Drosophila melanogaster: one gene and its partners. Changing the gene in region 3 together with the main gene of any one other region gives a genetic interaction. Each region holds a gene or a part of one and is shown on either strand. Other genes may lie near its edges. The genes, in order: rdgA, ArfGAP1, Cds and garz.

Region 1 (7,696 bases), on a different chromosome or scaffold from region 3:
TCGAAAATTTTCGAAAATCAAAAATTTCGCTTTTTTCAAAAATTTTTTTTTTAAATCGCAATAACATCGTTTGCCCACGTTTGCCCACCCTTTAGAATTTTGAAAAAATTTATACTTTAGAAAATATAAGGCTTTTAAGTTTACCTCGGTCTAATCAGAGAGTAAATCGTTTGCCCATCTCTTAAAACCAAATATTATCAACAAAAAACGTTTGCCCAACCATTATTATTAGTTTTTATCGTTTGCCCACCCTTTAAAAAACCTTTAACAAAAATTTTTTTTCGATTGCCCACATTTAAAATACAACCAATTTCCTTAGCCCACCTCTTTAAAATAAAAATTTCCAATAAAAAACGTTTGCCCACCATTTAAAACTAAATAATTTCGATTGCCCACCTTTTAAAACTAAATAATTTCGTTTGCCCACCCTTTAAAATTTGTTTTTTTCGTTTGCCCACTCTTAAAACTAAATAATTTCGATTGCCCACCTTTTAAAACTAAATAATTTCGTTTGCCCATCCTTTAAAATTCATTTTTAACGTTTGCCCACCCTTTAAAAATAAATTATTTCGTTTGCCCACCCTTTAAAATTTGTTTTTTTCGTTTGCCCACTCTTAAAACTAAATAATTTCGATTGCCCACCTTTTAAAACTAAATAATTTCGTTTGCCCATCCTTTAAAATTCATTTTTAACGTTTGCCCACCCTTTAAAAATAAATTATTTCGTTTGCCCACCCTTTAAAATTTGTTTTTTTCGTTTGCCCACTCTTAAAACTAAATAATTTCGATTGCCCACCTTTTAAAACTAAATAATTTCGTTTGCCCATCCTTTAAAATTCATTTTTAACGTTTGCCCACCCTTTAAAAATAAATTATTTCGTTTGCCCATCCTTTAAAATTCATTTTTAACGTTTGCCCACCCTTTAAAATTTGTTTTTTTCGTTTGCCCACCTCTTAAAAATGGTTTTTTCGATTTTTCACCTATTAAAAATAAATTTGTACATATGTATGTAATAATTGTAAGATGTGGCGTCAAAAGCACAGTTACTTACAAAAGAACAGTTATTTACATATTTACATACATTTTCAATATATCCATAGTGTTAATCATTCATGAATTGTAACATCAATTTTTCTTAATCATTGTTTCATTTCATGGAAAATATTTTATTCCAGAATTTTCTTGAGCTTGGAGGGTGTTGATAAACATACATACATTTTTTTGCATATATATTATATTGCAATATAAAATATTTTCCATGAAATGAAACAATGATTAAGAAAAATTGATGTTACAATTCATGAATGATTAACACTATGGATATATTGAAAATGTATGTAAATATGTAAATAACTGTTCTTTTGTAAGTAACTGTGCTTTTGACGCCACATCTTACAATTATTACATACATATGTACAAATTTATTTTTAATAGGTGAAAAATCGAAAAAACCATTTTTAAGAGGTGGGCAAACGAAAAAAACAAATTTTAAAGGGTGGGCAAACGAAATTATTTAGTTTTAAAAGGTGGGCAATCGAAATTATTTAGTTTTAAATGGTGGGCAAACGTTTTTTATTGGAAATTTTTATTTTAAAGAGGTGGGCTAAGGAAATTGGTTGTATTTTAAATGTGGGCAATCGAAAAAAAATTTTTGTTAAAGGTTTTTTAAAGGGTGGGCAAACGATAAAAACTAATAATAATGGTTGGGCAAACGTTTTTTGTTGATAATATTTGGTTTTAAGAGATGGGCAAACGATTTACTCTCTGATTAGACCGAGGTAAACTTAAAAGCCTTATATTTTCTAAAGTATAAATTTTTTCAAAATTCTAAAGGGTGGGCAAACGTGGGCAAACGATGTTATTGCGATTTAAAAAAAAAAATTTTGAAAAAAGCGAAATTTTTGATTTTCGAAAATTTTCGAACTTTTTCGAAAATTCATATCTCAAAAACTGGACGTGGGCAAAAAAACTAATTGGTGGGCAAACATGGGCAAAAAATGGGCAAACGATTCCAGCTTTCAAATTTCAAAAATTCGATTTTTCCGACCCCAGCTTCTTTGAGCTACCTAAACTGCCACACACAACAATGATTGATTGTGGAAATTTTTGTGGGGGTAAAAAATGGTGAATAAATTACCACACTGGTTGGTAATTGGTTTGGTTTGCAATGCAATTCCATTCGATATTGAAATTCCCAAAAATTGTTCAAATGGCAATTTCTATTAATTAACACGGTGCTTTTGGCAAAGGAAACACCCTTACAAATGGATATACAATCTGCAATCAAAATGCGATGCATACGTGTTTCCCCCTCGTTGCTGTCAAATAGCCCGCGGTATCTTTCGACCATTTTCATTCTCTTTTCTGTTTTTTTTTTTTTCTTCTTTTTTTTGTATTTTGTTTTCAATTTTTATGTGTATTTTTATTGGATTTTATATGCGAACCCAACCCCTGGGTCACGAATAAAAAAAAAGCGACAAGAAATGAAAATTGAATATTTTATGTGAAGCGAAGCAAACAAGAGCAAACAAAAAATTGTGGATCAACAATTGAAACATCGCGTTTTTATATGTACGCAAGACAAATGGGTAGCAATTTCTTTATTTCAGAAACAAACAAAGTCGCCTAAAACAAAAATCTTTAAACCATTTCAAAGCGCACACATTTATTATTACAAATATGTGCAGGCTTCATTCATGTTTATACTTTGGTGATTTAAAATGTAAATTCTTCGTATTGATTAAAAAAAAAATATATAAATTTAAAGTTTCCTTAGAGAAATTTAAATTGTATATTTACACTTGGTTACCGCGACGAAGTGCCTTCGTCGTTGAATGCAAACTTGAGGACAACAAACGAGCGGAAGCACAAACACAAATGCCACGTATACGCCACGTTGTCTGACATTTTCCCCTGTTACCGGGGAAATGCGAAATCAAAGATTGCCAACCGCACAGAGTGCCGCCTTTCGCCATTACGTTATTTTCGCCATTTCGCGCTCTTATGTCAGAGAAAAGCCGGTCACGCGCCAATACAAGAGCTGCAACATCCTCCAGCATGCAGTTCCTTAAACGCACCGATTAGCAAAAGGACACGTACACGAAGGATGCGTGTGCGGATGTCGTTGCGGATGCCAGTGCGGATGCGAATGTGGCAACAAGTTCGGCTAACGAGACTGGCTGGCCGACAAGAGCACACCCAAATCCTTAACCGGAGTGGCCTAAAAAAAACCTAAACCGCTCGCTTTGGCCAGCAATTTTCAATGAATGGCATCGTTTAATACAATTGCCCACACGGCGTATGCGTAACGAGTTTGTTTCGCCGTGTTTTTGCCGAATTTCGAACCGAAATTGCAGACGATTTTTCATTAAATCATCTTATTGACACACAGACATTCGAAAGTAGGGGGATACTCTGAGACAATGAGAATGTTGGTAATTGAATTTATACAGAATGAAAAGCAAAGGGCATTCCACGGAATTTTATTCAAAATTACACATTGTTGCACACATATTTGTGGAGCCTAAAAAGAGCTCGAGCTTTAAATAATTTTTAAAAAATTACTGCTTTAAACTAAGATATATTAATATATTCAAGCAATTCGAGTCAACTATTTTACATCTGTGGAATTTTGAAACTCTTTGTAAACTATAAAATCCGATTATATTTTATGATATTCCAAAAAAACTCATCAAATTCAACACAACAAGCTGAGAACCGAATTCTTGATAATTTCCATGCGTGATTCTATTAACTGAAGCATACAATACAATATTCTGTGGAGCTTTTCCTAAAACTACGAATATTTGCCAAAAATTGTAGCTGAAACTTTAAATAAATCTGGGAATCCCCATTTGAAGACTAAATATAAAAACATTTCCGAAAAATCACAATACAAACACGCTGCTCACAATCACACACGGCAAATAAACTCTCACATCACGAAATTAATCAACAAATTTTCCAAGGAAATTTTTCAATGAATTTCAATAAGTATATTCATATTTACCGTTTCGGTTTGCCGCTTTAGTTTTTCTTTACAATGGAACGCACTTTTCAGTCGTTCGAATCAAGTCAAAATTTCGTGCACATTTTTGCGTGCTTTTACACGTTAACAGTTAGGATTCAAAAAGCACAAAAACTAGATCTTAGTCTTACATAGTTTTAAGTTTTAAGTTTGTATCGTAGCTTATATTTCAAGTATTGAATAAATACTTTGGAATATCTTTGAATATTTTCGAATATTTGTACAAGTTAATATTGGTTTAGCACAACACTTAGAAGCACAATCAAAAAAATAGTTACTTTATATTTAGATATTGTAAGTTTTTCAGTATGTTTATGTTTTTCTTATGGTATGCGATGTTTTTGTTGTGTTTTGGGCGATGTTGGTGTTTTTTTTTAAGAACTTGGTAGTTCCAGAGAGTTTTGGTATTTTGCTTTGAAATGTTTGGCCTGCTTGGGCTGTTCTGCTATTTAAATGAGTTATTTATTTCTAGAACAACGCGCCTCGTCGACCGTTCAAATGAAACTGATGCGAAGGCGACGCATTGCCAGGAATATAAAGCGACCGGGAGCGAGAGGGCGCTATTGAGCATAAGCGCGGGAGCGAGCGAGAGGCCAGCAATCGGCCGGCAACTTCGGCTGTGGTCGGCAAAAGCCGAAGTACTATAAACACCTGTAAGCAGCCTTCGATGCCGGCGAGAGAGCGAGAGGGAGAGAGGGAGGGAGGGAGAGAGAGAGAGCGAGAGCGAGCAAGCGAGCGAGTGGCCGTATCGTTCTCACTCCCTCACCCTTTGCCGCCCAACGCCCACATACTCCCGCTCGCCCCGTCTCTGTCTCACACCCTCTCTCGCTCTCGCTCTCTCTCTTTCGCGCTCGCATTCGGAAGCGGAAGGAAACTCAACAGTTGGCACATTATTGAGTGGAGAGAGGAGCGGAGAAAGTAGAGCGGAGAAATGGCGAGAACTGCGGAGAAAGTGCGGGCGGCAGCGCTACTCTTTGTTTTTGTTGTCGCTGTTTGTTGCCATCAAATTTATGGCAATCATTTGTGCGGTGTTTTAAGTTGGTCCAACACAAGTGCCCAAACTATCGATAATTATCGAGAGAGAGAGAGAGAGAGAGAGAGTGATGGCGTGTGAGGGCGATGGAGGAAGTAAGGGATTAGAATAATCCAAACGATTATCGTAATGATATTGTTAGCTATTAGCAATCAGATTGTTTGCAATATCTAAAACAATTTAAATAAACGATTTTATGGCATTAATTATCGGTATAATCGGCAATATTGTTATCGATCAATATCATTCCTAACAACAGGAAGAAAGCTGCTTATATTTTTTTGAAAAATATTAAATCGAAGAAATCTTCAAGGAAATCATTGGTCTCATGTTCGGTGTCGACCTCGTCGAGTAACTTCTTCAATCTTCGTAATAGATCCTTGTCCTTTTCGAGAGTATCCAACAGTTGTTCAGCATCGCTTTTTAATAAGCCCAATTTACGTAGTAAACGTATCACACGCCTTTCAAATGGCGTAAAGGACTGACGTTTGAATCGGTTGTATCTCTGCGGCAGCTTCAAGGATATCTTGTGTTGTACAAATTCCACAGAATTCTCTTTATGTTTAGTAGTCGTTAGCTGCTCCTTAGATATCCCGTAGAATTCCTTATCACGACGTTCAAGGCTTAATCCAAAAGCGGCCAAAAAGACCAAGAGCCCAAAGATATGCAAGTAATGCATTTTTAAAAACTATGCACGGCCACGTTGTCCAACTTCTACTTATATACACTTTCAGTAGTGCACTTATCAGCAAAAAACAAATTAACTCAAACTCAATTAGAGATAGCTTCACACTGAGTTATGTCAATGCCGTGACTTTAGTTTAAAAATTTGCCCAAGAAGAGTCAAGAACATGACCTAACTTACTTAACACTGCGAGTCGCCCATTTCCTGCTCATATATTATTTAAATTGAAGAAATTATTACAAAACCAAAGTAGCATTGCGTTTTGCGTAACTCAAATAAGGGCAGTCAAACGAAAATTACCAACCGACTTTTATATTTTCCATAAATTTTATACTACTCGAGATGGATTGTGACAATTCGAGTTTGGAGGAGAAGCGAGAACGCGTTGACAATGCAATCCTAACCGCCATGGAGGATCTGGATCGGGATTATCTGCGCAAATTGCAGATCGAGATGCACAGATGTGCGACCGCCTGTTGTGCGGATGCGGACGCGAATGCGGAGGCGGTGGAGCGGTGCATCGATCGCTGCCAAATCCGTTTGACCCGATCACGCTGCTTCGTACAGCAGGGTATATCCGATTTTGAGAATCGCCTAGAGAAGTGCATCCAGCAGTGCCGCCTCAATGGATCCGATTATAGCTTGGAACGTTGCACCAGCAACTGCGTGGATAGCCATGTGGGATTGTTGCCCGAAATGTTTAGGGCTATGCGAGATACCCTGGAGAAAGGTGTTTAGCAAAACAGAACACTTATGGTTTGATTTAATTAAAATTATATTCGTTGGATTTAAACAAAAATGTCTTAATTTATATTATTTTATATTATATTTATTATTCAAAAATTCATTTAAAAAATATCATGGACTGTGAACCACCGATTTCCTTAAATGCCATCAAACACCTCTTAATTGCTAAATAGCGACTTAATTAATGCCAAACGGCAATTAGTAATCTAACACCAGTCGCCAATCGGCCGAGGAAATGTTTATTGATTTATTTACTAATTTAATCGATTATGCTGCAATTTTTGGTGACCCAAAAACATGCTTTTTATAAAGCAATTACGAGACCTCATTCCATCGAAGGATAATGGCCCAAAAGCAATACAGTCCACAAATTATTCATACGAACATGTTTCGTATGGTCTGTGATTTATTCAGCAACATAGAGAAAAACGCGCCGCATGTAAATGCTACCAATTGATTTTTTTTTTTTTTTTTTTTTTTTTCCATTACGATGATGTTTTTATTATTTGATCAACGCACTGTTACCCATGCGGCAACTTAATTTGATCTGCTTAAATTATTTTATTTTACAATGTGTCTTGGTTACTTAAGACTAACAGATTTTTAATCCTAAAAATGATAGGGAGAATTATAATAGTTGATATAACATAGTAATTATTATTTATTTGATTATTCTAATGAATTTTAAAACTAAGACTTTCTAGGTCAAAACCAGGTTAGGGAGGTCATGAGGGTGGTGTCGCTTGAGTCTTCTTTTGACTCTAGTCCGAGGGTCAGCATTGACCACAGCTGCAGTTCCTAGCTTCCTTGCTAGGCTGTTGGGGTGTACTCCAATTGATACGACAATAGCAATAATCTCCTCGTCACGGGCAATGTGGCATACTTTCAGGCGAGGCACACCAAAGTTTGGGCGCCAAAAACGGCGCACAATTGCAGCAGAGGAAGGAAACGGCAAGGAGAAACAAGGAGGTCTTCAAATTGGTTCGAAGCAAGGCAACGAAGTAGACATTATTTGAAAAAGGCATCTACGACCTGTCCGTCAATGAGTGCGCTGCAATTACCGTGGAAATTGGTCAGCGTTGCGTCTGCCTGCCTGAGCAATCGATAACCAATTGTGAAAACTGTACACTTATCGAAATAATCGATTTTCATAGTTTAAGACAAAAGAAACGAAATAGTGAACTGTTCATTCAATTGACGGGA
Region 2 (7,571 bases), 4.3 Mb from region 3:
GCATGTAATTTCACAATCTGGCGATTTGTGCAACATAAATAAACTAATATAGGATTTCACTAGAAGTATAATGGAGCAGAATTTAGGTCACAGGATAAAAGTAATAGTTTAAATTTCTTTATATCTAGTTTGTTTTGGCTAAAATATAAACAAAGCTGCTAATAATACCACAAACAATATCTGTTAGTCAAACAAAGAGATTTGTACGCGAAATAATATTGTGCTCATCTAAAAATAGAATATTCATCTTCGCCTGGTTTGCCACCCCACATTTCTTTTGATTTAATAAGCCCTTTTTTGGCAACTGCAAAAATGACACAATGAAAGGGTCAGGCTGCCCAGGGTCAGCAGCAGTGCCAAATGTTTCGCCTTGATCAGAGCAAGCAAACAATGCAAAATGTATAAATTAAGATTCTCAGATACTTTTGCCCGTCAAGGCCGCATATTATTGATCTCAACCGTCTGCCTTCTGTTTGGCGAAGAATAGCAAATAGAAAAAGGCATTGTTAGTTCCCTGTGAAAATGGCGAGCCCAGGGCACGTGTAGTTCAACTATGCTAATCAAGATTGCTTGTTTTCTACCCTAAGATACATCTGTTAAAATCATGGGAGCCTCAGATATGTCCTATCCATGATACATTTGAAATAGCTAGATGAGATGTGATGGCTTCCATATATCATCCTATAAATAGGCTTTGCTCACCTCCGCGTAAACGCTCGACAACCCGAACTCGTGCAGTGCCGCTGACAGGTCGTGGATATCGATCCTGCCGTCGCCATCGCGGTCCAGCTTGTTGAAGATGCGCTCCAGCCGCTCCTCGTCCTCGATGGGGATCTCGGTGGGCAGGATGGAGCCGGAGCTGGCGACCTCGTGCAGATCATAGGCCAAGGGCGTGTTGGTAGTGCTGCTGGTGGCAAGATGGGCATGTTGCAGGCCGAGATTTTGGCCGTGCTCATAGCTGGCGGCTAGCGTGCGGGCGGAGTAGTTGGCCTGCGCCTGCTGGGCGAAGTTGAAGTTGCTGGCCGGATCGGGCGTCAAGTCGATGTCGATGTGCTGTTGCTTTTGATCCTCTGGCTTATAGTCCTGCTCCTTTTGATCCTGCTGCTTGCTTACTGCTAAGGATGCACTGTTTTCGATTCCAACTTGCTTTCTGACCATTCTCCACACTCGTGTTTACAGTTTACCTTGAGTTTTCTGTTCTTTAACTGGCAGCTGAAGGATTTCTCTGGGTTTGCTCGGTTTCCGATTCTCTGGGGGATTACGTGTTGGGCTATCAGCTGCTCTGCTCTTATGGCCGGCTCATTTTGCACTACTTGGCAAGTCAAATGGAAAAACAGTCGTCTGAAAGAGGTATCGAGTGTTGTATACACATTAGTTTATAATGTTATGTCTGGGCGAAAGATAAATAAAACAGCTCAACGTATCGAATTTCCCCGCGATGAAGTCATCCTCTTCTTGGCTGGAGAACTACATATGTACATTGTAGGTGCCAATTTTCAGGATCCCGCGTACAACCCACATCCCATTGATTTTCGCAGTTAATTTTGAAGGCCAGCGATTTTCCGGAAAACCTTGAAAAACCCACAGCTTCACGCACACGCACGCACATGTCTCCAAAAGTCGTGGTAGAGGGGGGGAGTGTTGGGAAAAGGGAGACTTTCCCCCAGCAACTCGAACTTTCTACTTTGCAAAGCGTAGCTTTAACCGAAGAATTCTTCACGCTCTCACACACTTTCTACATTCTTTTCTGAATTCTCCGCCCATTTTCCAGACAGGTGTGACTCAAATTTCTCTCGAAACGCTTGCAAATTGTTGCCAATTTGGCAAAAATTATTCTGCACTCGATTTTCATGCACACACACACACACACGCTCACATGCAGGCGAAAGGAATGTGGATATGCAAAAGAAAGTGGCAAGCTTCAATTGCATTTCCCACTTTTTCTGTGGTCACTACCTACTGGTCGAGCTATTTAAGAGTTCGTCTGCTTTTACGCTATTTCGGCGACTTTGTGGCTTAAAGCGATTCACGCAGAACTCTTCAATTTTAATTTTTTGGGTTTGCCAGTGTGACCACGAACGTTTATCTAGATATACTTCTTGTGTGGTCGAAAATACCCTAAAATGCATCGCGTCACTGCTTAGCCGTGACTCAAACCTATTTGTGGTTTTTAAAATGTGGAATTGTAGGGTAACACTATTAATTTTAAATGTATTTTTTAAATTTGCAAATATTTATATTTTTTGAATTTAAAACCGCCCATTTAAAAAACGAACGACTACACTTGTTAACATAATATGTATTTTCTCATCTCGCATCCCTCGCAGTATCCTGGCATACACTTTAAGCTAAGTAATTCGTTAGTTAAGTAGATCTATACAAAATTGGTCTAAACTGTGGAAATAATCGGGAATAGTTGCACTTTATGTTTGAAGTCGAAGAATGAATACACAATTCAGTTGGTTACATTAAATGCGCGCATAGCAGCCTCGGGGCCAGACATCAAGAGACACATAAAACAAAGGAGACACAACTTGACAACCGAATGGAATACAAAAAATACAATCGCATAAGCTGCTCGCCACGGTTTCTAGTTCATCAGCAGATTCCAGGCGTCGTCCTCGGCAGTGCCTTTGTTGGCGGACGAGGCCGTTGCCGTCTTGGGCTTCACACTCTTCACGTCCAGGCTCTCGAAGCCCTCGCTCAGCTTCTGCGATGTGTCCTGCAGCTTCATGTTGCGGCGAGCTGTCGATCCGCCGGACGAAGCGTTCTGGTAGGAGGTCTCTGAACTCTGATAGTTCGTCGCCTCGAAGCCGGACCAGTCAGCGTCGCGGGTTAGGCCGGCGGAGGCGGTACCGCCGCCGCTGCTGCTACTCAACTGATTGTGGTACGAACTCGAGCTGGTCATGTGCGACTTGCTGTTGCCGTTGTCCTGCCAGCCGCCCCAGTCGCTGTCGCTGACGCCGCTCTGCTGACCCAAGCCTCCGGCCAGATTACCGCCCACGGAATTGGAACGCTGGTAGGCGCTGCTGTCCTCGAAGTTGGGATCGTTGTATCCGCCCTGCGGCGACGAAATGTTGCTGCCCGCCAGATTATTCCAACCTCGTTTGCCCATATCGGTGACCTGCGATCGGTATGTTTATATGTTAGAGGGATGTGGGTTTAGAGAAGATTAACTGGATGATGGGGAACTACAGACCTTGCTGGCTACATCGGTAACTCCGCATTGTACGGAATCTAGCAGAGTTCCCTCTTTAATCTACAACCAAAAAAAGATGCAAATAAATAATACAAACAATAAGGTGTACCAATTAAATTAACAAACAAATATGGGGATTAACTAAAGGGATTTTGCTCTCTTTTGTTGTTAAGGTGGGTTTCTACAGCTTTAAATTATTTAAAACTAATCAGCAGACTAATAATAAACCAAAAGAATACAAAATCAACATAATATTGAACCAAATCGAAGAGAATAGGCAAATAAGGAATCAAAATCTGAAAGATATACGAGCTGAGGCGCAGGACTCACCTTTGTCGAGGCCAAATTGACGGTGGTGACGGCCTTCTCCTTGGCGGTGCTGGCCAACTTGGAGGCGTTGGTGGAGAAAAGGCTCCAGCCAGAGGCCAAAGTGGAAAGCGTCGAGTCGAAAAGCTCCTGAGATTGCGTTTTCGGTGGTGGTTCGCGTGTGAACCCGAAACCTGCATATTTTCCGCCCTGACTCGGTGGCAAGTTTCTGAAACAATCAACTAGGATAAATCATAGCTAATGGACAGATATGCCATTAAGATCCTACTCTGGCCTGGAGGCATTCTCCACTTGGCGTCGGCTGAAGAACTCCTCCTTCTGGTCCTTGAACTCCTGCGTTTGGTACTGCTGATAGCCTCCAGGCTCGGCGCCTCCGCCATTCTGATAGCCTCCGTTTCCGCCATAACCTGTTGCACTGGGTCGCGACTGGTAGCTGCTGTTGCTGGAGCCACCTGAGCTGAAGCTATTGTTGCTGCCCACGCGGCCTTGCGCCTCCTTGAGATCCCAGCTCTTGCCCTGGGCCAAGGTGGCTATCTTATCGCGGTACAAAGCAGCCGCCTTCGAGTTGTAACGCTGCGTGATAGGCGCCCGTTCGTTCCAGTCCTCCTGATCCTCCAGAAACTCGCGCGCATTGCGATTGCCGCCCGCCTTCATCTTCTCCAGCTCGATGTCCTTCCACTTATCCATAGTGACGGAGCGCACGAAGGACAGATGCACGCCCAGACTGCGATGCTTGCCGGAGCACTCCAGGCAGATCCAGATGCCGTAGGTCACGGACACCCACTGCGGATTGTGGGTACCGCACTCGAAGCATTTCTAGTCATTTTTAAACAAAGAAATTGAAGCTTATCTAGCGTATGTGGACAAAGGAGCAAACCTACCGAGTTCTCATCCTGGGGTTTCAGTTCCTGGAGCACCCGTCGCGTTCTGGGACTCGCCATGGCAACTGGTTTCTATGGTTTCTGGCCCTGCTCTGGCGGATTGCCCAACTCTTTGCGTTCAGTTGGCTTCAGTTTCGCAGCTGATAACCGAGTTGCTAATGAAACTTTTGCTGACGCTGGCGCTGATTTGGGTGCAATCTTGGCTTTGAGATGGGGCGATTTGAAGCTCTCACACACGCTTACGAGCCTTTAAAGTCCACGGATCGCGACGAACGCCTGGCCAAACGCATTTAACAGAGTTTTGAATTTTTTTGGATCAGCTGGGACGCTTGCAATTAATGGCAAATTGGCAAAAAAAAAGTGTTAAGCGTGTCCCACTTGGAATTGGAGATGAGCTGACCACTCACGACAGCATCGATATACCGAATATTGCATGGAAAACCAAAGGAAGTTGGGCATACTATCGATATTTACCCATCTCAAAGTTCCACTTGGATTTTTGTTTTGCAGTGTGACCAAAGTGCAACTAAAGTGGAACGTTCGGAATTGCGATATATCGATAGTTTATTGAAAATGAGCGGGATATTTAAATATCTTAAGCAAACAAGTTTAATATATTTGAAACTGTCTTTCATAAAAGAAAACCTAAAAATATTAGCTTTAACATGTTTTAATGTTTTAATTTAAAATTCTATCGGTTTTATAAAAACAATAAAATATTTTTTTACTCTGTTGCTGTATTATATTTATTGTATATAGCTTGCATATAATATATTCAAGCTGCTTATTTACTAAATATTTCGAAAAAAGTTAGATAAGAACAAATATTTTCGAAATTATATAAATTAAATTAGACATTTAGAAAACCATTTTTATTCATCATTATCCAACATATGTTAATGTTAATGTGTTAATAATGTTAATAATGTTAATATACACATACATATTTTAGCTAAATATTGCACAAAAATCTCTGTCCGCTCTCCAGCAAATTCAATTAACCCAACTCGATGGCATCGCCTTTGTTGCGAGCACGCCGAAAACCCTTCAACAAATTATACATTATCACGCTGATCTGATTTCCAGATCTTCAGTACTCGTGCGGCGACTGGAGATGCAGCGCCGCCAATTTGCGCTGCGTCATCCCGAAAAAAGTTAATAAAAACAGCGATTTATCACACTCCTAACAGTAATCAATCTCCTACCGACTGTCGGTGGATTTTGATTCGATTTCGGTGTTTTGAATCCCGGACAGGGGAAATTACTTACATGATCGACTTCAATGCAAACAGACCGCGGGTGGCAGGGCCACCAAAGATGAAAGGGAACTCAAATCTGAGAGAATTTGGAGCCGCCTAAAAGCCATTTCCCTTTTCCCCATTTTTCAGTGCCCCTTGGAGGAAAAGTCCAAAAGGTAGGTGACCACACGCGTCTGCACATAATTCAATGCCATTCGGATTAGCATATAATTATGCACAATATTTCCGCAGTTCGGCTCTGCCTGCCCACCGCTAATTCCCTTTCAATTTCCAAACTCGCGCATTTATTTAAGTCAGCGTCTTTTGGCATCTCAGCGGATCTATAATTGCCGTCGCACGCCCAACAAGGGGGGCGTGGCAGATCAGATCTGGATGCGAGCGGCAACGAGCATATAATTGCCGCGGCGACCGCAGGATGTGTTGAATTTAAAAGCCTGCCGGGTAATCCGATCGATCGATCCGCCGATCGCCACGTCCCAGCCAACTTACGACTCCTTCCTTCGCTAAGTGAGCCGATGAGCCAGTGAGCCAAAGAGCCGGGCGTTCCTGGCTGGGCACTCGCTCGACGCTTTCAACAACTACTTGTCCCGCTGCCGGAGCGGATCCAATGCACTGAGATAAATAACAGACTTCTCAGATGAGAAAATAACCTTTCATATTCTATCAAGTAGTTAACAAAACGATCTTAGATTTTAGTTCATAATATTATGAGACTACTTCCTTTAGCTTCCTTTCTGTTGAAGACATCTCTTTAGTAAATCAAAATTTTCTAAGTTTGTTCAATCTAAATATAGAATTTTTAGCATTGAAAGATACCGTTATCTGTGTTTAAACTTCACTTATGCCATGTTTTTCCCTAATACAACACTGCATACATTTGAATTTGGTTGGCGCCCTTAATTTCTTCGAGTGTGCTCCGCTGGTGGTGGTCTTATCAGAAGCCGCGGAGTACTCCCCGATCTGCCAGAAATGGCATTGCTGCGCATCCATTATCGGCTCTGTCACTGCTCTTGCTGGGCGCAGCCACGCCCCCAAAAGCGCCACTGGGCATTGGGCAGTGCGTTGAGATCCGTTTTCGTTTCAGCTCCCAGCTCGCAGAGTCCAGGGTTGGATTTTGGGCTTATGGCCTGAGTTATTGTGTGGATACGATCAAATTATAGGCTTAGGCTTGCATTAAACTCGCATAGACGTCGTCGGTTGGTCGCAGCCAGACGAGGAGCAGCCATGGGTTCGCGGGCTCTGGAGAGGATGCGCATTTTATCATCGGGGCATCCGGTCGCGGCTCCTCCTATGCTTGAGATTTCCCCCCTATTTTTGTTCTCCTTTGGATCCACAAGCCCCTCGCAACTTGTCAACACGTGCAAAACAATGCTCGCAATCGCATTCGCATACGGATTTGCATTCGATTTCCCATTCCCAAATGACGTGCAAATGAATTTGAATTTATGCAAATGAGCAGACTGTTCGCACGCCGCAGCCACAAAGTCTGCGCAGGCACAGGTGATCTCTAAGGTAGAAAACAAAAAAAAAAAAAAATCATAAAAAACTCTGGCGAAATAAAATAAAATCGCTCGAAATTGCACCAATTAAGGGGAAATGTATGGAGAGGATCGTCGAGGACCAAGCAAAAAATAAAAAAAAAGAACAGAAATCAAAGGGGGGGAATGCAGATTGGTCTGCATTTATCAGCGATATTAAAGCGTTAAGTGAATTACTTATTCTCCTGGTCGCAGCAATGCGTTACCTTTCATGTCCTCCTGTCCGGAGGATGCCCCTCTCCAATCCCACCTGCCCTCTCACCTTTTCGAGTTGTCAATGCCGATGTCGATGGCCGCGATCTTGCATGCGACAATTATATGGGCCCTGTGCTGTGCTGTGCGACGCCAGTTTGGCTCCCGATCTCAT
Region 3 (8,939 bases):
TTTTTTAGGCAACGTATTCGACTTAACATTTGAGATCCTGAAACAAGATATATCCGAGGAGAAGCTCAAAAACATTAAGCAGTTGACTGCACGGCCAGTAGTGGACAGCTTAAGGGTGGAGCTTGGCGCTTTGAGTGCCGTCCATCAGCTCCGTAGCTCTCCGCTCTGCCGGCGGATCTTGAAGCCTACGCAAACAGTCAATGAGGTTTCACTCCCTAAACAGCCGTTTACGTTCAAGGGGTGCCACAAGTTAAATGAACATCAGGAGAACATTGTCCTGCATACCTATCAACGTATAATTGACGACTTACAACCGAGTCTCACTCTGATCCAGGGTCCCCCCGGGACCGGAAAGTCAAGAGTTATTTCGGAACTATGTCTGCAGACTTTGTACGGAAATGCTGCCAAAACGCTGGACCGCAAAATCTTGATATGTGCTCATTCCAATACAGCTGTAGATCATATTGTTGGGCTGCTAGGCTCAGTTTTGCGTGTGATGAACCGCGACCAATTCCACCTACTACGTTTTGGAATGCACGAGAAGATGAGCCACTACTCTCGTCCATTTTCGCTGGAGGCGCATTTCAACAAAGCCAAGGAGCAGAAGTTGCAGCGCGTTAGTAAAGAGAACGCTGAAATCCTAAAAAAGCAGCATAATGATCTTAAAGATGAGATTCAACAGCTGAAGGAGAAAACGAATCTCACGTCAACGTATCTCTTGCAACAGTTGCAACAGAAGGAAAAAAAACTGCAGCTGATAAGTAACCAACTGAGTCCGCCGCTGACGCAGCGCGAGGAGTTTGAAATCTCTCACATGTGCGTGACCAGGGCGAACATCATCTGCACAACGCTTTCCTCTTGTGTAAAACTGGCAAACTATGTAGATTTCTTTGACATATGCATCGTCGACGAGGCCACACAATGTACCGAGCCCTGGACTTTACTGCCAATGCGATTTGGATTAACGCATATGGTCTTGGTTGGCGACATGCAGCAACTTCCGGCTGTGGTGCTGTCCAAGAAGGCCATAGACTTTGGCCTTTCTAATTCAATGTTTGATCGCATTCAGCGAAGCCTGCAGACACAGCTTGATAAGCCGGGAAGTTATCACTTAATGCATACGAAACTATTTAAGCTGAGCACGCAGTACCGCATGCATCCAGAGATCTGTCGATGGCCAAACCAGTATTTCTACGAGGATCAGTTGATAAACGCCGAGTGTACTGCTCGTTTCGCCTCACCGCTCATTCCATACTGCGTTATTAATTTAAAATACACTTGCGACAGCAATGGCGCCCAAAACAAGAGTATCAGCAATAACGAGGAGGCTCGTTTTGTGGCCAAACTTCTGACAGAAATGGACAAACATATGCCCAGCAAGCGATTTAGCTATGGATTAATTTCGCCGTACCAAAACCAGTGTTACGCGCTAAGCCAGGTTATTCCCAGTCACATGAATATAACTCCTCAGACTGTGGACTCGTATCAAGGATTGGAAAAGGATGTGATAATAATTTCAAATGCCAGGACACGCGGCTGTGGCTTTCTAACGAACTATCAGCGACTTAATGTGGCGCTGACCAGACCGCGTCGTTGTCTAGTCATATGTGGCAATTTTGAAGATCTAAAAGTCAGTATCCAGATTTAATTGAAATAAAACATGTTTTTTATGAACTTTTCTTAATTTTGTAGTCTGTTGAAATGTGGCGCAACCTTCTCGATGATGCTCGCAAGAGGAAAGTTTACTTCAATTTGGACCGCGATGATGTGAACGACCTAGACCGTTCCTTAATCAAAAAGATGATGGTGAATACTATCAACTTAATTTAGGGGACACAACGTTCCCTATTAGTTAATGAGATTAAAACTACCTTTTAGATGCTAAGATATCACAAGTGCCATGGAAGAGAAGCGCTTCCCACATTGTTTAAAAAAAGGCTTTGTTATTTTTATATATATTTAACATAGAGACTGTAAGATTTAATATTGAAATCTTTGTACATTTAGTTCTTTAAAACGCCGACGAATTGCATTTTCGTTCTTAAATGCCGTACAGTATAACAGGATTTATAAGTAACCGATTATATATCATCTATGTACTTTTTGAGAAAGATTCACGGGTTGAGGATGTTGCACTATGCATGGCGTAGTGTATGACCGAATAAAAGTAAATAAATAAATATTGAAATGGTTAAATCAATTATTTAACGTCTGCATATTGCACTATTATATATAGAATTACAGCATTGCAAGAGTTTTCCTGGTATCTTGATCTCATAATTTCGTCCCTCAGGTATTTAACTAAAATGCGCTTTAATTATGCTAATCTCCAGATTCTGGCGTTGTCTGCCTGATCATCTCTAAGCTATAGTTATCGTAATTAAATTCACTAACAACACGCACACACACATAGTCGATATTAAATTCATAGTTATTCTGTTTGCCTTGCCTTGACGCCTTGTCACGAGGGCATTAAAATTAATGGAATCGCTTAACAATACGATTGCACTGTGTAGAGTTCTGCCAAATAAAACAATCGCAATAACTTAATGCAAGATAAAATAAAAACTAACTTAAGAATTTAACTAAAATGTAGCAACAAAATCTAACTAAGGACTAATAACATAACAAAAATTATGCCCGTAATTAACTTATTTTATGTGGCTGCTCAAACTGCCGGCCCGTTTGCTTACAGATATATATCAATGTATATATATAGAAATTTCTGCATTACATATAGAACGTACGACTCAGCAAACGTCTTGTCCGAATCTTACTGGTAACCGATCAAGTTTAGGTTAACATGTCGCCCAAGTTGTCCTTGAGGGACTGATAAATTTGGTATTGTTGATCTGGCTTAAGGTTGTAAATCTGTGTCAGCAGCTTAGCCGGCGACGGAGTTCTGATGAAGCTGGATATATAAACGTTAACGAAGGTCGCCATAAGAAACTGACAATCGAAACGATCCATAATGCCGCCATGTCCGGGTATCATGTCGCCAAAGTCCTGCAAAACAAGATGGTGTGTTGCGTTACATTGAAAAGACCTGTGTTCCGAAAAGATTACTTACCTTAATTTTGAAAGCTCTCTTAAATCCAGAGGCAAAGAAGCCACCAAAGGGTCCAATAATGGAACTAAACAGGCTCAGGGAGATCGAGTGCCAGATAAAGGGGTAAAGATTTAGAGTCTTGCCAATGCCAAACTGGAAATGAAAAAAATTATTACTGTAGCTATCAGCACAACAAATCGGTAACCCATAACTCCATAGAAATACATTATCACTTACCAATTTAAGGCTGTATTCCTGGGGCGTGAACAAATAGCTTGGCACACAGGACATTGTCATGCGTCCCTGTTCCTCCGAGTACTGGATGGGACAGATAAAGTACTGGTAGTTGCACAGCACATACGAGAACAGAATGCCAAAGAGGACGGTGGCGAAGCCACCCCCGATGAAGCCCTCCCAGGTCTTCTTGGGGCTGAGCTTGATGAGGGGAGTGCGCCCAAAGAAGAAACCGAACACGTACGCCATGACATCATTGCACACTATCATCGAAACAGGTACGATGAACCAAATGAGCCCCTCAAATATATTCTGTATGATGAGGTAACTCTGGGTGACGACAATCAGCAGGGATACATGGGTCCAGGCAAACAGGCTGAATTGTTTGATGTAATACTTCTTCACCAGTGAGAGCACGAACCAAACGAACCCGATGATGTACAGGGCGAAGGAAAGGAACCGGTGATAGGTCACCAGGAACTTCAGATATTCCTGTAGATGAAATTGCATATTTACCAGGCGATATAATCAGGTTATTGTATTATTTACTGACCACCCGATTAATTACAACGCCAAAGTAGTCTACCAGATTCTCTCCGTAAAAGAAGTAATTTGAGGTAAGCAGGAAATACCAGGAAAGGCTTCGGAACCAGGGCAAGCCATGAATTCGATAAACCTGGTAGCCAATCGAGATGATCTCCTGGAAGCACTTCACCTGCACCAGTAACGTCTGCAAAGAGAAAGTAGGACAACGATTATTTGAAGACTCGTTTAAGCGAATTCCATTAAACCTACCGTGATCATCAAGGCCAGCGGTCCACCATAGATGATCAATGCGAAGCCGCAGATCATAATCCATGTGAAGATGCCGCGAATCACCCAGTTCTTCCATCTGTGGAATGCGCAAAAAATAATTGTTTGTAATTGTACATATTTACTTTTAATATTTGCTCGCCAACTGTAGACAGCTGTGGATATGGATTATTTTTGGAACGCACTCATACTCATTCTGTCGGATTTATAAAATTCGCACTTCAATAAAATATTTTTTGAATCATCAATTCCAAATCGACCTTTAGCTATTCATCATGATCTTTAAAGATCCCAACTACGCATATGGATTTGTTTCACATACCTATCCGGCAGATCCTTGAGGGCCGAGTCCAATATCTCGGGCGTTTTGTCGGTTCCCTGCGGCAGATTCTTGGCCAGTTCGTCGACGAACTTCTCCTCGGGAATCTTCTCTTCCTCGGAGTCCACCTGGCAGGAGGAGGAGCAAGGGAAAGGGAAAATTCACTTATTGATTGCATTGGCTGGGACTGCAAAGTAGGTTTCCTATCAGATTCGATACGACCGGAGTGCAGGGTTTAAATACTTTCTATTGGACGACGCCGAGCAAAGTCCATGATACGTGTATGTATGTGCCTATATACCCATAATCAGAATCACTCGTTTATCCAATACACAGGCACATAAAATAGAGAGGGGAACCAAGTGGGGAGAAAAATTGCGGGTTTTTTTGGGTGGCGTGTTTTGTTGCCAAATAGCTTGGTTGATAAGGAGGCATTATCACCCAGCAATAACAAAAAAAGTCCAAGCCAGAAAGGGAGTCTGGTCATGGTAATGGTTTCGGCTCTGGGTTCTTGGCCCAGTGCTTCCCTAATTGGCGTAGTCCATCTAATTGGATTTGCTGGTCATAATGGCGCTATATTGCAACACAGCAGGTGGGTGGTTGGGTGGCAGGCAGGCTGGCTGGCTAGTGGTGTGTTTTGTGTTTGTTATTGGATTTTCTCCAGGAGAGAGCTCTCTCTTCTTTCTCCCACCTGCTTGTGCGTCAGAGAATAACAAAAACACATAGCCACACACATTTGTTGGTATACACACATTGGCTTTTCTATGCTCCAAGAATTATGCAAATTGGTGTCCGGAACAGCTGCCGCTCGGCTGCTCCACATACAAGTCATTGCTACTTACATGGTCCGAGGAGTCGGCGGCGGAGTTGCGCTTATTGGCTGCGTCAGATCCGGAGATGGCCGTGTCCTCCAGTGGCTCATCCTCGCCCTTCCTGCGTCGCACTTCGGCCATTATTCGATGTTCGCCAGATCTATTCACAATGTATTGATTCCTATTGATTCCGCTTGAGCAGTTCTCGTCCGTGTTCCGCTCTCCGCGTTTGCCGTTTGCCGTGACCCGTGCTGCGTGATCCGTATGTCGACTTCGTCCGAATTAAAATGCTTTTCTCTATTTCTGATTAGCCCAGCATGCAGTGTGCCCAGCTTGCGCAAAGTGGGCTGGTGGAGCAAAAGTGTTGGCAAGTATGCTCAATTGCTGTTAGGTTTTACAAGTTGACTTTTCGGACAGAAAATGTTTGATGTCTTTTAAAAGAACTTTCTTTTTCTGTGCAATTAACGGTGACTTTTGTCGTAATATGTAAAATAAAATATATTAATAATACTAGAAAAGTTAATTTAAGTGATAATAAGAGTCACCCATATCAGCCATCCCTGGTAGAGAATATCCGTAGCTTTATACGTTTCCCAACACCTGCACCGGCGGCGTCACTTTTCTCGGCTTTTCCGTATCGCAATTTTGCAATTTTCTCGCCAAAAATAAGAAAAAGGAAAACGTAAATTCAGAAAATGGCAGCAGCTATCAATGGTGTTTTCCCACCCACATTGCAGGAGCTGGTAAAGAAGTCCAAGGTGCTGGTCGTGGGCGCCGGCGGAATCGGCTGCGAGGTGCTCAAAAACCTTGTGCTTAGCGGCTTTACAGACATCGAAATTGTAAGTTTTTTCGAAAAAAGTATTCCATATTATTAATTTATAAACGTTACCCAGATCGATCTGGACACAATTGATCTTAGCAACTTGAACCGACAGTTCCTATTCCATCGCGAGCACGTTGGAAAATCTAAGGCACGGGTGGCTAGGGAAAGCGCACTGAGCTTCAATCCGGACGCTAAGATAACCGCTTACCACGACAGTGTAACATCGTAAGTTGGGATAGCTTTGCCTTTACATCTTGCTAACAACACATACCTTTTAGTACTGATTATGGCGTCAACTTCTTTAAGAAGTTCGATTTGGTGCTCAGCGCCTTGGACAACAGGGCCGCCAGGAATCATGTAAATCGCATGTGCCTCAATGCGGATGTCCCGCTGATCGAGAGCGGCACCGCCGGCTACAATGGCCAGGTGGAACTGATCAAGCGTGGACTCACCCAGTGCTACGAGTGCACTCCAAAAGACAAACAGCGAAGCTTCCCGGGCTGCACCATACGCAATACGCCCTCCGAACCGATTCACTGCATTGTCTGGGCCAAGCATCTCTTTAAGTGAGTATACCTAATAATTAGTCTAAATTGCAGCAAATCTATTGATTTATTTGCAGTCAACTGTTTGGTGAGTCCTTGGAAGATGAGGATATTTCTCCTGATGCTGCTGATCCCGATGCAAAAGAAAAAGACGGCGGCGATGGAAATGGCGAGCCCAAAGGCGATGGGAAGGAAAAAGGCGAAGAGTCAAAAGAGGAAAAGGAGGCCAAGGAGGATACTGCCAACGGCAACATAATGCGCATTAATACTCGCCAATGGGCCAAGGACTGCAACTATGATGCGGGCAAGCTGTTCAACAAGTTCTTTAACGAGGACATTACCTATTTGTTGCGTATGTCGAATTTGTGGAAGACCCGCAAGGCACCCGTGCCCGTGCAGTGGGATACCCTGCTGCCCGAAGGATCCTCCGGTGATCAGAAGGATGTGGCCAAGCAGCATCACAAGGTGTGGTCCATCGAGGAGTGCGCTCAGGTCTTTGCCAATTCATTAAAAGAGTTGAGCGCTAACTTCCTGAAACTCGAAGGCGACGATACTCTGGCTTGGGACAAGGACGACCAGCCAGCCATGGATTTCGTGGCGGCCTGCGCCAACGTGCGATCCCACATTTTCGACATTGAGCGAAAGTCAAGGTTCGAGATTAAGTCAATGGCGGGAAACATTATTCCTGCTATTGCCACCACAAATGCGATTACGGCGGGAATTTCCGTGATGCGGGCTTTCAAAGTGCTGGAGGCCAAGTGGGAGCAGTGCAAGGCCGTCTATGCCCGACTTAGACCAAATGCACGAAATCACTTCCTTGTACCGGACGCTTCTCTTCCTGGCCCCAATCCCAATTGCCATGTATGCGCCAGCGATCCGGCCATTACTCTCAAGATCGATACGAAGCGCATGCGTATAAAGGAGCTGCGTGACGAGGTCCTGGTTAAGACGCTCAACATGTTGAATCCGGATGTGACTGTGCAGAGCAATGGCTCCATTTTAATCTCCTCAGAGGAGGGCGAGACCGAATGCAATGACGGCAAGCTCCTAAGCGAATTAAACATTGTGGATGGTGTGATCCTCAAGTGCGACGACTTCTTCCAGAACTACGAGTTGAGTATTATCATTTCCCACTTCGATGCGGAGCGCGATGAAAACTTGTTCGAAGTCGTAGCAGATGCCTCACAGCTGAAGCCAAAGGATGAGGATCAGAAGGAGGCCGTGAAAGACAAGGAGGATGAACCGAAATCGGCTAAGAAGCGTTCTACCAACGGGGAAGGAGACTCAAAGGACGATGGACCCTCCACTTCGAAGCGCAGCCGGCCCAACGAAGTGGTTGAGGAAGATGACGATGACTGTCTGGTAATCGAGGAAGACGAAGACCAAGCAGATGTTGTTGTCGTGGCCACAGACAAGCTCTCTGTGCAGAGTCCCCCAAAATCGGGCTCCAAGCGCAAGCCATGTGAAGTAATCGAGGATGAGGATATCACCGAGATTTTGGAGTCGTCTGACGACGAACCCGCGGGACCAACCAAGTGCAAACGTTCCCGCCTGGACGATTCGAACCCCGTGGCAGTCATCAGTATCGATTAATAAAAAAAAGAAGTTTTTATTCGAATAAGTTCTCAACTGCGCACTAAATTATGCTCTTGATTCCCTGTAATTTCATTCTGATTTAAAATAAAAACACATTTTTGTGGATGATAAAATTTTTAAATTTTTGTGCTTTGAACGGGTTTGGTTTTGCTCTACTCGATTAAATTCAAATAATCCAGTGCGAGAAATGTAATTTTATTAAATAAAAGAAATATAAAATAACATTTAAAATTAGTCAAATTTTTAATTCGATAACTTTTTAACGCCAACCAGTGCTGCGAAGCACTGGAAGTCATTGTGCCTGTTATCGGTTTCTGACCAGTTCAATCCAAAACAGAAAAAGGTGAGCTGTTCTACAAATTTTCATTGTAAATCTCAATGAAAATGCAAATTTCAGATGTCCCTGGCTAGTAGAATACTGCAACAAGGTTCCCGCTTGTGGAATGGTCTCAGTGCCGCGCGTGGTTTCCACCTTCTCACCCGGCCGGCGGCTCCTGCAATTGTATCAATTCAAAGCTCGCAACTTGTGGCCGCCACAACTGGAATCTGTCAGACGTCGGGTCTGCTGACGCCTGGCTCCACTTTGGTCCAGCAGGTGGCGGGATTCAAGGTCAAGGGACGCCTGAAGCGACGCTGCAAGGACTGCTACATCGTGGTGCGCCAGGAGCGCGGTTATGTCATCTGCCCCACGCATCCACGCCACAAGCAGATGTCGATGAAGAAGCGCGACTACAAGTCGTGGATCCTG
Region 4 (7,472 bases), on a different chromosome or scaffold from region 3:
GTAGCTGGGAGTCCACTTACTGACCTAGACGCGCTGAATCTCGAAGAGCTTGACCTCCGTATCGTACCAGATGGCAGGCTCCACGTTGCGCAGGTAGATGACACCCCAGATGTAGGTGCGGAACCATGCCGTTGTGCCCGCATTGGCCTGGTACTTTCGGATGAGAATGGGATGCGGCACTGGGAGCAGTCCCACTAACGTTCCGTGTTGCAGAAACTTGAGGATCTCCGACTCGTCGGTCAGTCCTTTGTCAATGCAGATCTTCTCCACCTGGGGCACTAGGACCTGAAGCAGTCGCATGATGGTCTGCAGCGGCAGCTTGGAGCGCCAGGAGACGATCCACTCGGGCGTGGGCGTCCAACGATCGCTCTCGCCAGGCACCATGCGAATGCTGGCCCTGTGGGCCACCGACAAGCGGGACAATTCCGTGGGTGAGGTGGACTTGCGTTCGTCAGTTGGCGTCGAAGCGGCTGATCTGTCGTAGGGCACAATGTCTGTAGAATCCTCCACCTGAGGCTTGTCATTTGGATGCGCCTGCTCCCGCTCCGTCATCTGAGTAATGCCCGGGGTGTCCAACAAGGACGTTTTCAGTGTTCCTGGCTCGGCTGGCTGCGCCGTGAGAACGTCCGACTGCAGCTCCCCCGCCTGAGATCGCTCATGAGACTCTGTCTCCGATTCGAGATCCTCTTCCGCCTTGGGCTCTTCATTAATTATCTCCTCCTCGTCCTCATCCTCGTCTTCTTCGTTGTACTCTTCTGGCACGTGGGCCGAGGGCAGTTCCTGGGACACAGCTGGCGTTCTTCGCTGTGGTACCCGCGGCAAGTTAAACTTTCCACCTGTTTTACGGCCACTCAGGCACTTGGCTATGCCAGCCATATCGGTCGGGAGATTTGCCATGGCATGGAACACATGACGCTTTCGAATTATGGTGTAGACTAGATTCGAGTTGCCATCGAACTGATACTGTATAATGTTATTGAAGATCTCCAGCAGGAAAAACACCAAATGATGATTGCTGGGTGCCGATAGCAGAAACCAGGGTGTGCTAAAAGCCTCCAGGAGATGCAACATCTTTACACTAGCCACCATCGAGAGGGTTTTCAGATATGGTGAGACATTTACCAGAATGGTCAGCAGACAATCGAAAAGCGGCTGCAGCCTCTGGTGGCCAGTGGCTATTATTTTGTGGAACACAGTGATGAGTAAGTCCGCATGGGTTCCAGTAAACACAGGTATATCCATGGGCACCGTGGCGGAGTATGCTTTGTTAAGCCGAACCCCAAAGTTTCGCTCACCTATCAATAAACATTTATTTAAGTGTAAGTGCACTGATTCCACGAACAAAACATATGACATATGACTCACCCGATAGGAGCAACAGTATGAATACTCCAATATGCATCAAGCCCACTCGAGATTGATCCGCTCGGGAGTAGTTTAGGTGATACAGAATGGGAATCAGGATGTCCAGAACATCGGAGCTCTTTAGCACAAAATACAGAAACTTTTTGTTGTAGTCGCATATTTTCCAAAACAAAATAAGCAGCTCCTGGTGGCAATGAAGTCGCTTTGTGGAATTGGGCAAATAGTTCTGGACCAGTGGGTTGTTCAGCAGCCTGGTTATGCCCTTGAGCACAAAGTGAAAGTCCTCGTCGCGGTGAACCCTCGAAAGATAGTTAATGAACAAGTTGTCGCCGCAATTGCCCTCGTCGTAGGACGCCTGTCCGGGTTGTGTGAGTTGCTGCTGCACCACCATATCGTGATCCAAGGTGACAATGAGCAGTTGAAGGCACGCTTCCACCAGGGGCTCTGTGGTGTCTGCAAACAGCAGGTGATTGTAGGGCACGCCGAAGCCCACCGGATCGTAGGAGCACACGGTGTTCAGAAACGAGGTGAACAGCGGCAGGGCATGGCGATTGTCGGCCGAGGTGAAATATGCTATCCACTTGTTGGGCTCCTCGGACTGCTGCGGCGATCGGTACATGGGCTCCGAGAAGCAGGTGAGTAATAGCTTCAGCAACTCCGTGCGCCTGCGCTCCATGTGGGCGTTGTGGGGCGGTGACTGGGCGAAACCCACGCCCGCTTCCCAAATGTACTCGCAGCTATCGATGTTCGCCAACTCCTCGGCCTTCTCGGGGCCCGCACGCCGCGTGGCCGTAACCGTGAAGTCGGGACAGAAAAGAAGGTCGCAGGTGGCATTGAGCAGTGACTGAGCCAACGGCATGGTCTTGTCCTGCGATGGCAGGCTGCTCCAGAAGAAGTCGCGCCACTTTTCGTCCTCGAAAATGTACGGCAGACACCGGACGAGCAGCCGCACGCAGTTCAAAACGCACTGCTGCTCCGCCTGCGTGCGACAACTGCTGTCTACCGCCTGGGCAAGCTTTTCCACCGCCTTGTAGCATAAGGTGGCCAGGTTGGCTGGATTCTCGTTCCGTATCTGGCGAATCTCGCTCGAGGTGACCAGCGCGAACACATCCTCCAGCGTCGTCTGGTGGCCCTGCCAGAACTGCTCCCAGAACTGCTCGTCGCTGGGGTCGATCTTCTGGTTCTTCTGCGTCAGCTGCACAATCGCCTTGCGAAAGTTCAACTTGGAGTCCGTGTTTCCCATATTGTTCGGCCTGTGGGCTGCTTTGGTATCGCTGAGTCCTGTAAATCCACCTGCCCCGTGCTCGATCGCCTCAGTGCAAGTGTGCGCAGTAGTCTGGAACAGGAATGCTTTGCATTTAATGCGATTCTTTTTCAAAAATCGAACGATTCCAATTAGAAATTCGCCTACGCACCAAATGCCAGTGTAACTTAGTGGTGGGTGTAACGCTCACGACTGAAGATGCGTGCGTGACTGATTATGCTCACCTGTTTTGGCCCTCATATTCAAATATCAATTTGATTAAATCAATTTGATCGACAGCTTGGCAACATATTTTATTTTAAAAACAAGGTTATATTTTTTTTATATACGCTTGCAGCTGTATTTCAATTTAATCTATTGAAATTTCCGCATCGAGTTGGCATCTACAGCTGTGCCAGTGCTGCGAAGCGACGAACTGCCGCGCCGGTGTTGGAAGACGCTTGTGCAAAATATTCGGACTGCACACAAGAACATAAACGACACGTAAACGTCACCAAAAATTAGCAGCTTACCAGTTCGATTAGTTAGGATTAGTGAGAGATGCCCAACTAGGCAGCACGCCCAGATTCGTCCAGGCAGCGTGAGTGTGCGAGTGGGCAAGTGGCGAGTGCCAAAACATATGCGAAGGTCGTCGGGAAGGGAGGAGGAGCTGCCCTGCCCCACGAAAACTGCAATTTTCAGCGCTAGCCCTGGAACTGGAAGCCAACTAGCTGCAGTCGTAGAGACACCGCAACGGAGGACACGCGGACACCATGGCGCTTCCAGGCAACGGCATCTACGTGGTGCGGGGCGAAATGGCCACCCTGATGACGGCGATGCGACGTGGAACGCGTTGGAATGCCACCGCCTACGTGGTAAATAGTGCCCCTAATGCTCACTGCGAATAGAAAGTATATGGCCCTTTTGCACATCCACAGGACGACGAGAATGACTCGCTGCTGAAGCTGTTCATTGACCTCAAGCATGAGCTAAATCGGATCGAGGACCTGCGTCAGATCGAGCCTCAGGTCTTCCTGGCTCCGTTTCTTGAGGTGATTCGCACGGCGGACGCCACGGGTCCGTTGACTAGTCTAGCCTTGGCCTCGGTTAACAAATTATTGTCTTACGGGCTAATAGGTATTATGATTTAGTGCTTACCCTCTGCATTTGCTCATTCTGTACCTATCCACAGATCCCACGTCTCCAAATCTGGCTGACATTGTGGAGCGCATTGCCGATGCTGTGACACATGCCCGCTTTATGGGCACCGATCAGTCCTCGGATGGTGTCACCTTTATGCGAGTGATTGAGGTGCTGCACACGCTTATCCGCAGTCCCGAAGGAGCCGCCGTCAGCAATGTGTCCATGTGCGAGGTGATGCTCAGCTGCTTCAAGATCTCCTTCGAGCCGAGGCTGAGTGAACTGCTTCGTCGCTCGGCGGAAAAATCGCTCAAGGACATGGTGCTGCTCTTCTTCATGCGCCTTCCCCAGTTCGCCGAAGAGCGAAGTGACACCATGCTCCAGAAGCGATTTACTATCGGCGATGCTGCCAGCGGAGCTACCCAAGAAAAACTAAAGCGTAAGACGGTTGCCCAAGCCCAGACAGCACCCAGGAAATCGTCAGCAGTGGAGGAACCGCCTCAAACACCGCAGTCTGCCAACCTGACGGTGCCAGGGCACTTGAAGGCACCCATATTGGCCACCACACCCGCCAGTCCAGCGGGAAACATATTGGACATGCAGGGCAAGATTACGCAGACACCAACAACAACGGCGAGCACGGGGGAAGATGAAACCACTGTCCCGGAGACTCCTGTTATTCAAGTGGAGTCGACTGAATCGGAGCCCTTGCTGGACGGCGAAACGGGTGAAGCAACCAGCACCCTGGCCGAGGCAAATAGTAGCGAGTACATCAACTCGGTGGGCGTCCGTTTTACACAGCAGTCCACCGATCACGATGTAACATCACTATCCCCTTATGGCCTGCCCTTCATCCAGGAGTTGTTCCGATTCCTCATAATCCTCTGCAATCCTCTGGATAAGCAGAACTCGGATAGCATGATGCACACGGGTCTTAGTCTACTTACTGTAGCTTTTGAAGTCGCAGCCGATAATATTGGAAAGTATGAGGGCTTGCTGGAGCTGGTTAAGGACGACTTATGCAGAAACTTAATATCGGTAAGGGACTCTTAATTGCTTCGTTAGTTATTTCTGACCTAACTCTTTCCTTTCCCTACAGCTTCTCAGCTCAGAGCGGCTTAGCATCTTTGCCGCCGATTTGCAGCTCTGTTTTTTGCTTTTCGAGTCTCTCCGCGGACATCTCAAGTTTCAGCTGGAAGCCTACCTTAGAAAATTGAGCGAGATTATTGCTAGCGATAATCCCAAGACGCCCTACGAAATGCGAGAACTCGCTCTGGACAATCTACTGCAGTTGTGGCGCATTCCCGGCTTCGTCACGGAATTGTATATCAACTACGATTGTGACTTGTACTGCACGGATATGTTTGAAAGTTTGACAAACCTACTGAGCAAGTATACGCTGTCAGCAACGAATGCAGTTTATAGCACCCACATTATCTCAATGGACACCCTGTTAAGTGTGATAGACAGTATCGAGCGAAATTGTGCCGCGAGCAAGAATAGCAGCAACAACAGAGAGTCCTTGCCAGAAGCTGCCCCAGCAACAGGTGGCAGCCGCCATTCTCGCCACAACAGCGGATTGGAGGGAATCGTAATTGATTCTGGCAATAGTGTAGCTGCAGAAGAGAAAGTGGAGAACATCGCAAGCTTTATAAATGCGAGCTCACATCGACTACGACTACAATCTGGCGGAGAGGGAGTGGGAATAACCAGTGAACAGCTGGCCAAGGTCAAACAGAAGAAGCGTCTGCTATCCCAAGGCACAGAGCGATTTAATCAGCGTCCAGAGAAAGGAATCCAGTATCTGCAAGAACACGGCATCCTAAATGCCGAGCTTGATCCCATGCAGGTGGCCCTGTTCCTTCGAGAAAATCCCGGGCTCGATAAAAAAATGATTGGCGAATATATCTCGAAAAAGAAAAACGTCGACTCTAAGATTCTAATTAATTTTGTGGACTCGTTTGATTTCACTGGTCTTCGAGTGGATCAAGCATTGCGTCTTTATCTGGAGACCTTCAGATTGCCCGGAGAGGCTCCATTGATCTTTTTGGTGCTGGAACACTTTTCTGATCATTGGCATGTGAGTATACACATCTACTAAAATACTTGCAGTCTCTGATATTAATCATGTATGTATCCCACCAATATAGAAACAAAACCAAGATCCGTTTGCCAACGTAGACGCTGCTTTTCGCTTGGCCTATGCCATCATCATGCTGAACATGGATCAGCACAACTCGAACGCGAAGCGTTTAAATGTTCCAATGACGCTCGAGGACTTCACTAAGAATTTGCGTGGTCTAAACGGTGGCGAAGATTTCGATCAAGAAATGCTGGCTCAAGTCTTTAATGCAATCAAGTAAGCTTTAGTACATATAGCGTCACTCTCATTTGCTTATATTTCCGATTATTAATTATTTAAGGAACGAAGAGATCGTTATGCCAGCAGAGCAAACGGGTCTGGTGCGTGAAAATTATCAATGGAAAGTACTGCTTCGACGAGGAGACACGCACGATGGACATTTTCACTATGTGCATGACGCATCATACGACGTGGAGATCTTCAATATTGTGTGGGGTGCTTCTCTGAGCGCCCTAAGCTTTATGTTTGATAAAAGCACTGAAACGGGCTACCAAAGAACTCTAGCAGGTACGTACATAAACATCTAATAATTACCATTCACATCTCACATTACGATTACATTTCAGGTTTCAGCAAATCCGCTGCCATATCGGCGCACTATAATCTGCATTCGGACTTCGATGCCCTCGTTTTAACTCTCTGCAAATTCACAACGCTGCTGAGCAGCGTAGAACAGCATGAGCCCGCTCCGGCGAACAATGAAACCCAGCAAGCTGTGAACTTTGGATTGAACGGAAAGGCTCAGGCTGCCATGCGAACGGTGTTTCTATTGGTTCACGACTACGGCGATTGCTTAAGAGAGAGCTGGAAACACATTTTGGACCTATATCTGCAGCTTTTCCGTCTAAAGTTGCTGCCAAAATCATTGATCGAAGTGGAAGACTTTTGTGAGGCGAACGGAAAGGCCATGTTAATCCTGGAAAAGCCCCGCGAGAAGCAGGAATCGGGACTATTTTCCAGCCTGTACTCATTTATCAGCTCGGAGGGTCAGCGAGAACCAACGTACGAGGAGCAGGACTTCATCAAACTGGGACGGAAGTGCATTAAGGAGTGCCAGCTGGATCAAATGCTGCAGGAATCAAAGTTTGTGCAACTAGAGTCGCTGCAGGAGTTGCTTAAATGCGTTCTAGCGCTACTGAAGGCTCCTCAGGGGCACAAATCCATTGGCCTGCCGTACGCCGAAGATCAAACTGTTTTCTGGATGGAATTTTTGGTCAAGATAGTTGTTCATAACCGGGATCGCATGATACCGCTGTGGCCAGCAGTTCGAGACCAAATGTACCTACTGCTTATGGGCAGTGCCTCCTGTGGATACGACTACCTACTCAACCGATGCATTGTAGCGGTCCTAAAACTAGCTATCTATCTGATGCGAAACGAAGAACTGTGTCCGATCGTATTGCAATCGCTCAAGATGCTTTTAATGCTTAAGCCAGCCTTGTTGCTGCGCATTTCTAAACAGATTTCCATTGGTATCTATGAGCTGCTCAAGACGTCGGCCCAAAATATTCATTCCGAGCAGGACTGGCAGATTATTTTCAATCTACTTGAATGCGTGGGAGCCGGTGCTGTGCCGCCCAA

The links.
Region 1: of Cds (region 3) and rdgA, changing one enhances a phenotype caused by changing the other (phenotypic enhancement), as found in Drosophila melanogaster (one study listed by BioGRID).
Region 2: of Cds (region 3) and ArfGAP1, changing one enhances a phenotype caused by changing the other (phenotypic enhancement), as found in Drosophila melanogaster (one study listed by BioGRID).
Region 4: of Cds (region 3) and garz, changing one enhances a phenotype caused by changing the other (phenotypic enhancement), as found in Drosophila melanogaster (one study listed by BioGRID).

What each region holds. Positions count from the first base shown.
Region 1 is NC_004354.4:8,922,011-8,929,706, reverse strand, and holds the start of rdgA (retinal degeneration A), read right to left. Parts: upstream 4,524-7,696; 5' UTR 4,011-4,523; intron 1-4,010. Other genes in the region: CG43255 (uncharacterized protein), read right to left, coding at 5,333-5,740; CG12661 (uncharacterized protein), read left to right, coding at 6,089-6,484. UniProt on the Drosophila melanogaster protein: Required for the maintenance of phospholipid turnover within the photoreceptor.
Region 2 is NT_037436.4:12,412,746-12,420,316, forward strand, and holds ArfGAP1 (ADP-ribosylation factor GTPase activating protein 1), read right to left. Parts: upstream 4,836-7,571; 5' UTR 4,468-4,835; coding exon 4,408-4,467; intron 4,343-4,407; coding exon 3,795-4,342; intron 3,735-3,794; coding exon 3,530-3,734; intron 3,260-3,529; coding exon 3,200-3,259; intron 3,125-3,199; coding exon 2,591-3,124; 3' UTR 2,281-2,590; downstream 1-2,280. Other genes in the region: SCaMC (short Calcium-binding mitochondrial carrier), read right to left, coding at 703-1,158.
Region 3 is NT_037436.4:8,124,688-8,133,626, reverse strand, and holds Cds (CDP-diacylglycerol synthase), read right to left. Parts: upstream 5,866-8,939; 5' UTR 5,773-5,865; intron 5,699-5,772; 5' UTR 5,369-5,698; coding exon 5,258-5,368; intron 4,544-5,257; coding exon 4,419-4,543; intron 4,176-4,418; coding exon 4,079-4,175; intron 4,014-4,078; coding exon 3,837-4,013; intron 3,776-3,836; coding exon 3,287-3,775; intron 3,203-3,286; coding exon 3,071-3,202; intron 3,007-3,070; coding exon 2,794-3,006; 3' UTR 1,952-2,793; downstream 1-1,951. Other genes in the region: Setx (senataxin), read left to right, coding at 9-1,630, 1,693-1,830; Uba2 (Ubiquitin-like activating enzyme 2), read left to right, coding at 5,923-6,066, 6,121-6,275, 6,329-6,616, 6,673-8,188; mRpL36 (mitochondrial ribosomal protein L36), read left to right, coding at 8,589-8,939.
Region 4 is NT_033778.4:12,323,293-12,330,764, forward strand, and holds the start of garz (gartenzwerg), read left to right. Parts: upstream 1-3,067; 5' UTR 3,068-3,381; coding exon 3,382-3,483; intron 3,484-3,546; coding exon 3,547-3,745; intron 3,746-3,800; coding exon 3,801-4,786; intron 4,787-4,847; coding exon 4,848-5,828; intron 5,829-5,898; coding exon 5,899-6,107; intron 6,108-6,171; coding exon 6,172-6,398; intron 6,399-6,457; coding exon 6,458-7,472. Other genes in the region: CG8841 (uncharacterized protein), read right to left, coding at 25-1,295, 1,366-2,608.